Linked DNA regions of Neurospora crassa OR74A. The protein of the gene in region 1 interacts with the protein of each later gene in a biochemical or structural test. Links are inferred from orthologs where the notes say so. Each region holds a gene or a part of one and is shown in the gene's direction. Other genes may lie near its edges.

Region 1 (3,437 bases):
TGATGACGGGCTCTTGACCCTTAATACCAGCCGTAAGAGACTGCTTCTTTATCTCAACCACCATATCTTTGCCCTTTAGGTTACCAGGGACGAGGATGGTGATGTCGACGTCGCCAATCGTCTGAGTCCACTTGTAGGGGAGAGCCTCCTGCTCGGCTTGTTCCTTGGCGCGGGCAGCGGCCTCCTCGGCGGGGGTGAGCTCTGTTACGTCTGACATTGTTTGGTCAGTTGACTAGTGGGACCTGTTGATGGCGGATGGACTTTCTGGTCTTGGGAGCAAGAGGAGTTGAGCTCTAAAACGCACCTTTGTCAGCCATGTTGAAGGTGGTATTGTTGAATTCGGTGTAGATATTGGGCAACGACGGCAGCTTGGTGCAGTGGTGCAGTGGTGCAATGTGCGGTAATGTAAGTAGAAGACGATGGAACGCGCCTGAACGCGATGACCGAATTTCTGGAGGGGCAGGTAACCCGCATGGAACGGCTGCGGCCGCCCAATCCCAATCCTAGGAGCTGCCCGCGAGCGGCTGCTGTCACTGCCCTGGTAGCCCCTGCTCACCCCACGCTTGCCCGCGTCCAGTCCCCTGAGACAGAGCTGCCAGATGAGCGCGGCAGAGTGCCGTGCTGTGAATGATCTGGGAAGCCCCACCCTGCACCGCCAGGGTAGCGTCCATTGGAGCGCTGGCGCGGTTGGGGGCCAAGTGGAAACAAGGATTATTCAGCCCAAGCATAATAACTCTTATCAGTCCCTCTTTCACCACATCGTCAATCTCACTCGGGTTTCACCCAGACTTCCACTTGGTTGATTTTCATCACCTTCCCTATCCACCGTTGATACATGACTGCGTGACCCGGAATTTCTGCCTAGCCGAGCTGGCATTTTAGAACAACATTTCATCACCTAACAAGACGAGTACAAGTCCTCGTCGCCAAATCACGATCACCAAACAGATATAAAAGAAGATTTGGGCCGCGATCGCCACTCACTCACCGACACATCAAGAGACGTCCCGAGTTCTCAGATACGGACTACTGTCCCTTCGAAGGGAAACGCCCACTCCTCGCTATAATTCAGCATACATTTCTCTTGGCCATCATTTAACCTTTGGAAATCCCACTTCAGCACATCGATCCCCGTCTCCTCGAAGCGAAATTATCAAAACAACCCCCCCCCCCCCCCCCCCCCCCCCAAAAAAAAAAGAAACCACCCACCATGGCGCGCCCTCTCGACCCCCTCGGCTTCGAAGACGAAATGTGCCCCGTCTGCAAATCGCGCAAGTACCTCAACCCCGACATCGTCTTCGTCTTCAACCCCGAATGCTACCACTCCATGTGTCTCAACTGTGCCAACCGACTCTTCAACGACGGACCCAATCAATGTCCGCACGCCGGCTGCAACAAAACGCTCCGTCGCAAGGGCTTCCGCTCGGCTTTTTTCGGCGACTTGGCCGTCGAGCGCGAGGTCGACATCCGCCGTCGCGTGGCGGCGGTGTTCAACCAAGTCGAGGACGACTTTGAGACGCTCCAGGATTATAATAATTACTTGCAGATGGTGGAAGATTTGACGTTTGAACTTGTCAATGGGACGGATGAGAGGAGACGGCAGGCGGAGGCGCAATTGCAGGCATGGGAGGCGGAGCATAGGGCGGATATTGAACGGAATAAGAAGGCGGGGAGGGAGGCGGATGAGATTTCAAGAGTGAGGCTGGCAGCCGAAAGGGATGCTGTCAGGCAGAGGAGGATTGAGGCTATCAAGGAGGCGGAGGCGGAGAAAAGAGAGAGGGTGAGGAGTCGCGAAATGGAGCTGGATAACCTGGCCAAGGGAACCACTGCTATGACAGCGGAGCCGGCGACGAAGGTACAGCTAAAGAGGCGTGGGCAGGTGAATCGGGTTGCTGAAACAGCTTCCAACCCTGCCATCGCAACAACGGGAATGGGCACGGGCGCGTCGGAGGTTGAGCGTTTGTCCATCCGCGGCTTGAAGGAGAAGCCGAAGGCGCCGGCGCCACAGGGCCCGTACGACCCCTTTGGAGGCATGGACTTCGCGCCTAGTCGGTACAAGCTACATGGAGGCTTGAGTCACCCGCTTATGGAGAAGTACCGGTTGGACAGACAGCACGTTGCTGGTGGGTACAGCTTTGACGACTTTGCGGCGCGCGCCTTGTATGAAGCGTTTGCTGGGTTGGGTGTGTTTGTTGAGGATGAGAAGGAGGTCGGCAGTGGTATTGGGCTGTCACAAGAGACGAGCATGGCGGCGGGGATCGCCGCTGTGGTTGACGCGGATAAGATGGATTTGGACTGAGAGTGGTTCTGGACCGGTATGCCCCGGCCTTTTGGTTGGCGGTAATGGTGTTTTTGTTGCATAGCGACGGCGTTCACTCAGCGATTGAATATTTTTCTTTTTCCTCTCCGACGGATCTGGATTTAGGAACACACATGAGGCGGGACCAGCATCATATAGATCAACTTCAGACTCGGTGGTTTTAGAGGGCGCAAATATTCGGGTCTGCTGTGGATTTCTGGGTTCGAAATTCATTATGCGAATGGTCGCAGTCCAGCAGCCACATAAGACAGAACTTGGCGAACTGCAGTACATTCACTACTCTTTGCCACCCATCAAGCCATCTGTCTACTTGTAAGGAGTATCAAGGTCACTGAAGACCACGTTTTGTGTGAGGGATTGGGACGACGATGATGATGGAGAAAAGAAGAAGAAAAAGAAATTCAGACTAATAAGAGTGCGTCGATTGATCACAAAAATGCCCAAAAAAATATATAGATTAAGATTTACCAAACAAAAAGAGCCTCCAGGCTTCCCTACTGCAAAAATGTGTATGCCTCCCTTGCTGGCCATTCCTGGAGAGAGTGTTGGCAGCCAATCCTGAAAGTTTTGATGGTATGACCATTTATCATACCATACCTCTTTCACTCCTTTATCTCGAGATGCCCGGACCCCATTCCACCGTTTTTATGTAGCGTTCCATTCCAACTATTCTTCCCCCCTCCCCCTTGCGCTGCGCTGCTAAGCCTTGTATCTGGCCCTGCTCGTTAAGAAGCACTCGACGGCGGAAAAAAAAGCCTGATCTCTTCACAGTCAATCCTTGACTGCCTTATTGCCACCCATTTCGAAGGTACGAGCATCAAACCGCCCTGCTTACCCGAACATTGGCTGTCCTTTCGGTAGACTAAGGAGGGGCACCGTCAGAAGACTCGCGGCAACAATACCGAAAGATCAGGATTGCCGAATCGAATAACGAAGGCGGGTGAGAAAAAAGAGCTGAGCTCAAAAAATACAAAATAAAAGAAAATAAAACAAAAAGCAAAAGGAACGCCGCGCTAGATGCGTGACTTGCCGGTTCGTGTCATCCCGAACAAACCAGACAAGCCATAAGGAAGACAAGAGAATGACAGAAATGCGGGGCAGTGTGCCTGTCAACGAC
Region 2 (4,402 bases), on another chromosome or scaffold:
GCCAAACACCAATCGACACCAACTAACCACCTCCATCAGTATCCATCCCTTCCCCCCTTTTCTCTCAAGTGGGTTCCGATCACTAATCATCACCGCCGTGTAGAGGAGGGAAGAGGAGTCAGTTAAAGTTCTGACGGCCACAGCAGCGGCGTCTAAAACAAGTTATAAGTACCAGCCCGGCTACCTACCTCTAGGTAAGGTACCTACTCACCTCTGACAGCCGATTTGATGCAAGTAGGAGGCGTTCGGGGAGTCGATTCAAATCCTCCGTCCTCCCTCCCTCGCCCCGATCTAGACTCAACGGCAGCAAGGGCGCGCCTACCTATCTACCTACATACACCCATCACCACGCACCCACCCTGAGTACCTCTGTGTAGATATGGAAGTAAGTCCGGGGCGAAGGATCGCAACCGCGCGGCGGGGTTTGGGAATCCTTCGGAAGTCTACCTACTTGGAATTGGGAACTTTGCTGCTGCTCCAAACCGGCGGTTAAGTAGTAATGAGCAGACAAGCGCCGCCGCCGCGATTTGATGAGCCCCGTTTTTCTTCCATCGTGACAGTCGCTGCTCGTATTCACTCATGCGCCAACAACCGCCGGTGGTGGCATACGAGAGTCGGGGTATCAAAGTCACCACCCAAAGTGGAATATGTACCTGGCAGTCAGTTGACGTTCCATGAAGAGTGGTGGGTGACTCCCGAGTCGATGTGGGAACTTTGAGCTCTTGGATTCCAACAACTACCTACGGGACAGCCACATAAAGGTTATGCTGAGATACTGCATGTGTGACTGAGAGATATGAAAGTGTTGAGGATCGCCGTGGTACTCCACGGACGGTATTGAAGTGAGAGGTGGAATTAATCTATTTGCTCCCGATCGTTGATTTCAAGCGTCTGAGATGATGAGGTTTCTCCCTTCTTGCAGCTTGTTTTGGCGCTTTCGTTTTCCCGCTACTTTGAAGGACCTGTCTTTCCATCGGTCGTTTTTTTAATCTTCCTTTTGAATAAGACCCATGGACTGATAGATAATCGGCAAGATGGCGATCCTTCGTACTGAGCGCGGAAGTACCAACACTGATAGTTATCGTATAATCCGAATCCGAGGAAATTCCAAGTCCGCCGATTGCTGTAGACTTGAAGCATTGCAATCACTAAGAGAAGACGGACTACCTCTATCAGCGCGGCCTGTGCACCAGTTTTTGAGCATGGAAGCGAGTGTGCGCAAAGGAAATATGAATATAGAGGCTGCTGAGGAAGTGGAAGTGACGATGAAGTTGTGGTGTTCCAGTCGTTTTTGAATGTGAAGGCCACAGTGCAATTGAACTATGAGAAAGACTGTGCGTGTGGGGGGTCCACACTCACTGCAGTCAATCCGGCATCAGCGGGCCGGCAACAAGCGTGCCGGACCGGCAGCAGCTCACCGTAAAAGTATCACCGTACCTGACCTTGTGCCAGATCCGGATTCCCAGAAACAGCACATCATTGATCCATCAAATCCACCGAGATCCTGTCCTGAAGCTGATCGCCACAGGCCACCGCCAGGCAACCTTGGCACGTGCTTTCTCGACTTCACAAATCTATACAACAACAAGCGCAATACAAACAGCCATAATAATAGAGATACGCGGTCTAGGGGAAGACCTGAGGCTGCATACTTGAGACAAGGGAGGAGGCCCCTTTGAATACCGAAGAACAGACGAACGACTGCCCCCGCCAAGACCCAAGATAGAAGCTCCAGCGTGCAGACACATGCCAAAAGTTGACCTCGATTTCACGACTTCTCGCTTCTCACCAAACCAAACATCGAAATAGAACATCAAACGACCATATTAAGCATCAGCCCTGTCGCACTTCTCCATCCGGACACCCGCGTCGATTAGATATTCTGCGACATAGTAAAACCAGCAAGAACATTCATCAACGTTGCTGCTGCCCGCGCAGCCATTCGTAATTCCTTCCCTTTGTCCGTGTATCCAAGGCCGTGATACTACACGCCCACCATGGAGTTCAACATCGAGTAAGAGCCAAATCCGAGATGACGCGTTCGCGTTCTTGGTCTGTAAAAAACCAGATAACTAACTTGCCGGCAAACAACAGCGATCTCCCAGTTCTGTTTCCTTACCCAAGGATATATCCAGGTATGTGAGCTCATCCACATTGGTACACCATCACAAGTGCTGACAGACCGACTACACAGAACAATATGCGTACATGGTGGACTTGAAAAGTGAGCATTCAACAAATAGCTCACACTCATCACACGTCCACTGACCACCACCACTCCCCACAGAAACCCTCGATGCAGGCGGGAACTGTGTCCTGGAAATGCCTTCGGGCACCGGCAAGACCGTCACCCTTTTGTCACTCATCGTCGCCTACCAGCAATACTACCCAGAGCACCGGAAGCTGATCTACTGCTCGCGAACAATGTCCGAAATCGAAAAGGCCCTCGTTGAGCTGAGAGCACTCATGAAGTTCCGAGCCGAGCGGCTGGGGCACGAAGAAGAGTTTCGCGGTCTCGGTCTGACAAGTCGAAAGAACCTGTGTCTGCATCCCTCGGTCAAGCGGGAGAAGAGCGGTGCCATTGTCGACGCGAGGTGTCGCAGCTTGACGGCCGGCTTCGTCAAGGAGAAGAGGGAAAAGGGGGAGAATGTGGAGACGTGCGTCTACCACGACAATCTCGACCTTCTAGAACCGCATAACTTGATCCCTAACGGAATTTGGACACTGGATGGCCTGATGAGGTATGGCGAGGAAAAGAAACAGTGTCCTTATTTCACTGCCAGGAGGATGGTAGGTCTCTTCTCAACACCCCAGGATGCGGATGTAATAGCTCGAGATGCCATACATACTAACAGCTCATATGTAGATGCAACACTGCAACGTCATCATCTACTCCTATCACTACCTCCTAGACCCCAAGATCGCCGAGCGCGTGTCCAAGGATCTATCCAAGGACTGCATCGTCGTCTTTGACGAGGCTCACAACATCGACAACGTCTGCATCGAGTCTCTAAGTACCGACATCACCCAGGACTCACTGATGAGGGCAACCAGGGGTGCTCAGAACTTGGAGGCCAAAATCAGCGAGATGAAGGACTCTGATCAAGAGAAACTTCAGTCCGAGTACGAAAAGCTAGTCGAAGGACTCAAGGGTCTAGATGAAGGGCGACAGGAGGATGCTTTTATGGCTAACCCAACACTACCCGACGATCTGCTCAAGGAGGCTGTCCCCGGCAATATCAGGCGAGCCGAGCACTTCGTTGCCTTCCTCCGGAGATTCATCGAATACCTCAAGACCCGCATGAAGGTCCGCCAGGTCATCTCCGAAACACCACCATCCTTCCTCGCCCACCTGAAAGAATACACCTTCATCGAGAAGAAACCGCTCCGGTTCTGCGCCGAGCGTCTAACCTCGCTAGTACGGACCCTCGAGCTCACCAACATTGAAGACTACCGGCCACTCCAAGAAGTAGCCACCTTTGCAACCCTCGTCGCCACCTACGAAAAGGGCTTCCTACTGATCCTCGAGCCCTACGAATCCGACACGGCCAAGACCCCGAACCCAGTCCTGCACTTCACCTGCCTCGACGCCGCCATCGCCATCAAGCCCGTCTTCGACCGATTCAGCTCCGTCATCATCACCTCCGGTACCATTTCCCCCCTTGAAATGTACCCCAAAATGCTCAACTTCGAAACCGTCGTGCAGGAATCCTACGCCATGACCCTCGCCCGCCGCTCTTTCCTCCCCATGATCGTCACCCGCGGCTCCGACCAGGCCTCCATCTCCACCTCCTTCCAAGTCCGCAACGAGCCCAGCGTCGTGCGCAACTACGGCAATCTCCTGACCGAGTTCGCCCGCATCACGCCCGACGGCATGGTCGTCTTCTTTCCCTCGTACTTGTACATGGAATCCATCATCTCCATGTGGCAAGGCATGGGCATCCTCGACGAAGTGTGGAAGCACAAACTCATTCTGGTCGAAACCCCAGACGCGCAAGAAACCTCGCTAGCGCTCGAGACGTACCGCACCGCCTGTTGCAACGGCCGCGGCGCCATCTTGCTCTGCGTCGCGCGCGGTAAAGTGTCCGAAGGCATCGACTTTGACCACCAGTACGGCCGCACCGTGCTCTGTATTGGCGTGCCCTTCCAGTACACCGAGTCGCGCATCCTCAAGGCCCGCTTGGAGTTCCTGCGCGAAACGTACCGCATCCGCGAAAACGACTTTCTCTCTTTCGACGCCATGCGCCACGCCGCGCAGTGTCTGGGGCGCGTCTTGCGCGGAAAAGACGACTACGGAGTCATGGTGCTGGCGGACCGGCGCTTCATGAAGAAGCGCGCGCAGCTGCCCAAGTGGATTAACCAAGCTTTCTTGGAAGCGAACACGAATCTGAGCACGGATATG
Region 3 (4,241 bases), on another chromosome or scaffold:
CCTGGAGGCGAATAAACCATTCCTTGGGCGCAGCGACCGAGGAGGACCATGAACAATCTGGCCCTTTTTGTGTGAAAATTTCGACCGCGTACGACTGATCGCGAGTTGGTTAATCAATTGCGCCCATACAAGCGGCTGAGGTATTACGTCAGAGGCGGCACAGGTCAGTCTTGGCCGTTGACCAGTGAGCGGGGATCTTTGGAAACCTCGGCCGAAGGTGCCGTGACGTAACGTCAATCCAGTTGGCGTTTCTTATTGGCCACCTGTCAGCGCGTAGGTCGCAGGCGAGCCACGATCAACCGCAGAGCTGGAACGGGCCGGCACGGGGCCGGCACATCTACATGTGCCTTACTACTAACGGCGAGGCTACTCCACGGCGCAACCTTTCATCGCATTTCACGATCCTACAATACCTCGCTACGAAGCTTCTGTCGGGCACATCACGCCAAGTACGCGGTCCGCTTTAAGGTCGCATCTTACTGCATTCCTTCATCGAGTATATGTACATAACTCGATGCAGTAATTAGCTTCGATCTTCTCTCCCCCATCTCCAGTAAGTATTGCTAGTTGTGCACTGCACTGTGACAGTTGTTTCGCTCAAGGTAAGGGTCGGTGTTTACCTGTTTCACCACATCACGAAACATGCGACTCACGCCATACGGTGTCTGTCTCGCTGGTGACCTTGCAGATTCATTGGACCACGATACCGAAACGGATATATGGACACATCAAAGCCGTGGACCCCATTCCGTCGTCTGGACTCTAGAATTCGGGAGAGCCCGTGCCCGGAATCCGGACCGGAACGGACAGTTGGACTCCCTGGCTGGCCGTTTTCCACGTGGGATTCCCATTTTGCCAAGCGATTTGACCGCACAAGTATCACGCACCCCCGCAGTACCGACGACGACCGATCCATGATTTATTTGAGCCTTGTATGCCTACATACTCTTTGAGGTTCTTGATTACTTCAACAGTCTGGTGAACCCCGGGCACAAGCATGTGAAAGTCGCAGGCCCCCGAAGGCATAGCCCTACATCGCCTCAAGACAATCCAGTGGCCCTTCTGGGTAGCGGGCACATCATGTAGTATATACTTGACACATATGCACGTCCTTTGAATGTCGTGACTCGTAACCAAGCTTCAAATCAGAGTTGACCTTCGCTTTGAAGTTGTGGTGGAACCAGATTTCGCTGTCGAATTTCGAGGCCCGTAGTTACACAAACGAGATGTCGGTACCCAGCACCGATCTGATTCGATTTCACAGGCCCCACTCTTCCTGCGAGGCTGCCTACATACACGAGTTCGCGCATTTGGGGAACAGCCTTGCAGTCCAGTAAACATTTCCGGCTTCCACCACACACCACGAACCTTTGTTCAGCTTGTGCATTCAACGTCGTCGCGTATCCCCTTTTCTCCATTCTTTCTTATTTCTCTCCGGCACTTTTTCAGCGCGACAACCAGTACCCGGCCTCCCGATCAACACCTACCAGGGAGTTGTCTACACGAACACGACTAAAGGCCCTGATTATCGAACTTCTGAACCTTCCACTCGTTTCGAAGTGACCCTCGAGCTTCTCCCACTAAGAGCGCCAGCTACTATCCGTCAAACTATCCCGACAAACATACGCAAACATGGCTGACTCGGACGGCGAGTACGCCTCCGACGATGAGCTCAAGAGGCATGGAAAGAGGACAGCGGACGGGCGCAGCAAGCAAACCAAGGCGTCATGGGAAGATGTTAAGCGCTCCTGGGATACCGTCTTGGAAACAGCGGACAGCGGCCTCTCCATCGCAGAGATTCGGGAGGCCGAGAAGCGGCGTCGCCTTCTGCGCGACACGACACCTCTTCAGCGTGGAATTATCCGCCATCTGATGCTTGTGCTCGACATGAGTTTCGCCATGGCCGACAAAGATCTGCTACCAAACCGTTACCGAGTCGTCCTAAATAACGCCATTGGCTTCGTACGCGAGTATTTCGAGCAGAATCCCATCAGTCAGCTAGGCATCGTGGGAATGCGCGATGGAATTGCTGTGCGAATAAGCGACCTGAGCGGGAATCCGGCCGAGCACATCGAAAAGTTGATGCAATGGAGCGAGCAACAAGACCCCCAAGGAAATCCGAGTTTACAGAATGCACTTCAAATGTGCCGAGGTGCTCTATAGTCAGCGCTACGGCCCACCCCCTCCGTGACAGAGGTCATTCGCTAACCGCTTCATGTTTTTGTACAGTCAAACGCCGTCACATGCCACGCGCGAAATACTGATAATCTACGGTGCCCTCGTCTCAATCGATCCGGGCGACATACACGACACCATCAACGACCTCGTAGCCGACCGCATCCGCGTCTCGGTCGTTGGCCTCGCCGGCCAAGTCGCCATCTGCAGCGAGCTTTGCAAGCGGACGAACAACCACGACGGCAACTACAGCGTCGCCGTAGACGAGGTGCACCTCAAGGAGCTCTTCTTCGCCGCCACCACTCCGCCCGTCACCCGCACGCCCGAGCAAAACACCGCCAGCCTGCTCATGATGGGCTTTCCCAGCCGCACGCTTGCTCCGAAAGACCATGTCAGCTTCTGCGCCTGCCACGCGAAGCCCACGCGCGAGGGGTACACCTGTCCGCGCTGCGGAATCAAAGTGTGCCGGCTGCCGATCGACTGTCCGATCTGCAAGCTGACGCTCATCCAGAGCACGCACTTGGCGAGGTCGTACCATCATCTGTTCCCGCTCAAGGTGTTTGTGGAGGTTCCGTGGTCTCAGGCGTATAAGTCGACGGCGTGCTACTCGTGCCTGACACCCTTTCCTGCTAGGCCAAGGGATTCAGTGGCGGCAGCGCCAGCTGTGTTAGGAGGGAGAGCCGGAGCTAAAGGTAGCGGGAAACAACAGGACGGCGAGCAGAAAAATCCAAAACCGGAACTCAAGGGTGTCAGCGAAAGCGGGCGGTATGCTTGCCAGGTATGCGGAAATCATTTTTGCATAGACTGTGATGTCTTTGCCCACGAGACTATTCATAATTGTCCTGGGTGTCAGAGCGATACGAGGGATGTGGAGAAGGATACGGCAGTAGCAGTACCAGACGGTGGCCCTACACCCATGGTGATGGATTCCTAGAGTGAGGAGCATGCTACAAATGGCGGCAGATGGAGGACAACAATTAGCCGCTCCGCTTGAACGTTTCAGATTCTTCGGGCGGAACCGAACCGGCCACTCTGGTTAAGAGCATCGATAGTATGGTATCGTGAACGAAAACGATACGATGACCCGAAACAGAGCAGTTTTAAGGGTATGGCGAACATATCTGTTACATGGAGGGGTTGGCGCTGCAAAGAACACGAAAATATACACGGCATCACGATCAAAATATACCCAGACGACTTGGCTAAGAAGAAAGTCCAAAGTGGAACTCCCAAAACCAAAGCTGTAAGGGACACCAGCCGAATAACTAGAGACGACGGGGTCATGGCTTCTTCATGCTCTTTACCAACAAGGCAGTGCAAAGGGATACTAGCGAAAGGGCTAAAGAAATGACGGGATCCAACAGATGTGAAATGGTCCTATGAATTCAAGAAGACGATTCGTTGGGTGTGGCGCATCTGTGAAGGAGATGGGAGACGGATATGGTTATGGAAGAATGATCAAGAAGACTCTTTGCGTATCGGTAGAGTCCCTTGTGACGAGGGGAAAGAGAGGACGGGCACGCAACGAATCATAGATGTGGAGTGATACGGCAATGTGAGATTTTGAGACCATACCAGCATCATCAAGTAGCGTACTAAAATAGCTAATCTTCATATGTCTACACGGTTCCGGTGATGTTCCGATAAAGGAAAAATCCTGCCCTTGAACAAATCGGACAAATTATATGCAAGTAGGTAGGAGTGCGTGGTGAAAAACGAGTGAAGAGCAGAATGCGAAAGGAACTTGTTGGGCGATCATGACTGGCGATTTATGAACAGGTCAACAAAATGTTTCAACCCCTCGTTTTCATTCGAAGCTAATACACCACCGTGAATTCGCTCATTACCTACAATTTCACATAGCTGATTTCAGAATGACAAAGTACTATGTAAGCACGTGTCAAAATCATCACATGATTTGCATAACTATGCCAAAGCTACTTTCATGCTCTACTTCTCGGTTTGAAGCCATATCGAAACCACAAACAAGTACTGTGCGCCTGCAAGATGCCATGCTAAGACCCTTCCGGCCAGCTCCCCTGCCGGCCGACCCCCAAGCTTTTGTG

Evidence for each region.
Region 2: the proteins of NCU02587 (region 1) and NCU01625 are reported together in a solved structure, tested with the Saccharomyces cerevisiae proteins (2 studies listed by BioGRID, with this or other methods). The link is inferred for Neurospora crassa OR74A from reciprocal best matches to the Saccharomyces cerevisiae genes TFB3 and RAD3.
Region 3: the proteins of NCU02587 (region 1) and NCU01831 are reported together in a solved structure, tested with the Saccharomyces cerevisiae proteins (2 studies listed by BioGRID, with this or other methods). The link is inferred for Neurospora crassa OR74A from reciprocal best matches to the Saccharomyces cerevisiae genes TFB3 and SSL1.

What each region holds. Positions count from the first base shown.
Region 1 is NC_026501.1:2,825,078-2,828,514, reverse strand, and holds NCU02587 (RNA polymerase II transcription factor B subunit 3), read left to right. Parts: upstream 1-1,210; coding exon 1,211-2,299; 3' UTR 2,300-2,821; downstream 2,822-3,437. Other genes in the region: NCU02588 (nuclear movement protein nudC, variant 1), read right to left, coding at 1-210, 305-317. UniProt on the Saccharomyces cerevisiae protein: Acts as a component of the general transcription and DNA repair factor IIH (TFIIH or factor B), which is essential for both basal and activated transcription, and is involved in nucleotide excision repair (NER) of damaged DNA.
Region 2 is NC_026502.1:2,932,127-2,936,528, forward strand, and holds the start of NCU01625 (DNA repair helicase RAD3), read left to right. Parts: upstream 1-1,477; 5' UTR 1,478-1,997; coding exon 1,998-2,014; intron 2,015-2,094; coding exon 2,095-2,135; intron 2,136-2,194; coding exon 2,195-2,224; intron 2,225-2,287; coding exon 2,288-2,790; intron 2,791-2,866; coding exon 2,867-4,402. UniProt on the Saccharomyces cerevisiae protein: ATP-dependent 5'-3' DNA helicase.
Region 3 is NC_026502.1:2,258,574-2,262,814, forward strand, and holds NCU01831 (RNA polymerase TFIIH complex subunit Ssl1), read left to right. Parts: upstream 1-1,322; 5' UTR 1,323-1,632; coding exon 1,633-2,162; intron 2,163-2,229; coding exon 2,230-3,109; 3' UTR 3,110-3,810; downstream 3,811-4,241. UniProt on the Saccharomyces cerevisiae protein: Component of the general transcription and DNA repair factor IIH (TFIIH) core complex, which is involved in general and transcription-coupled nucleotide excision repair (NER) of damaged DNA and, when complexed to TFIIK, in RNA transcription by RNA polymerase II.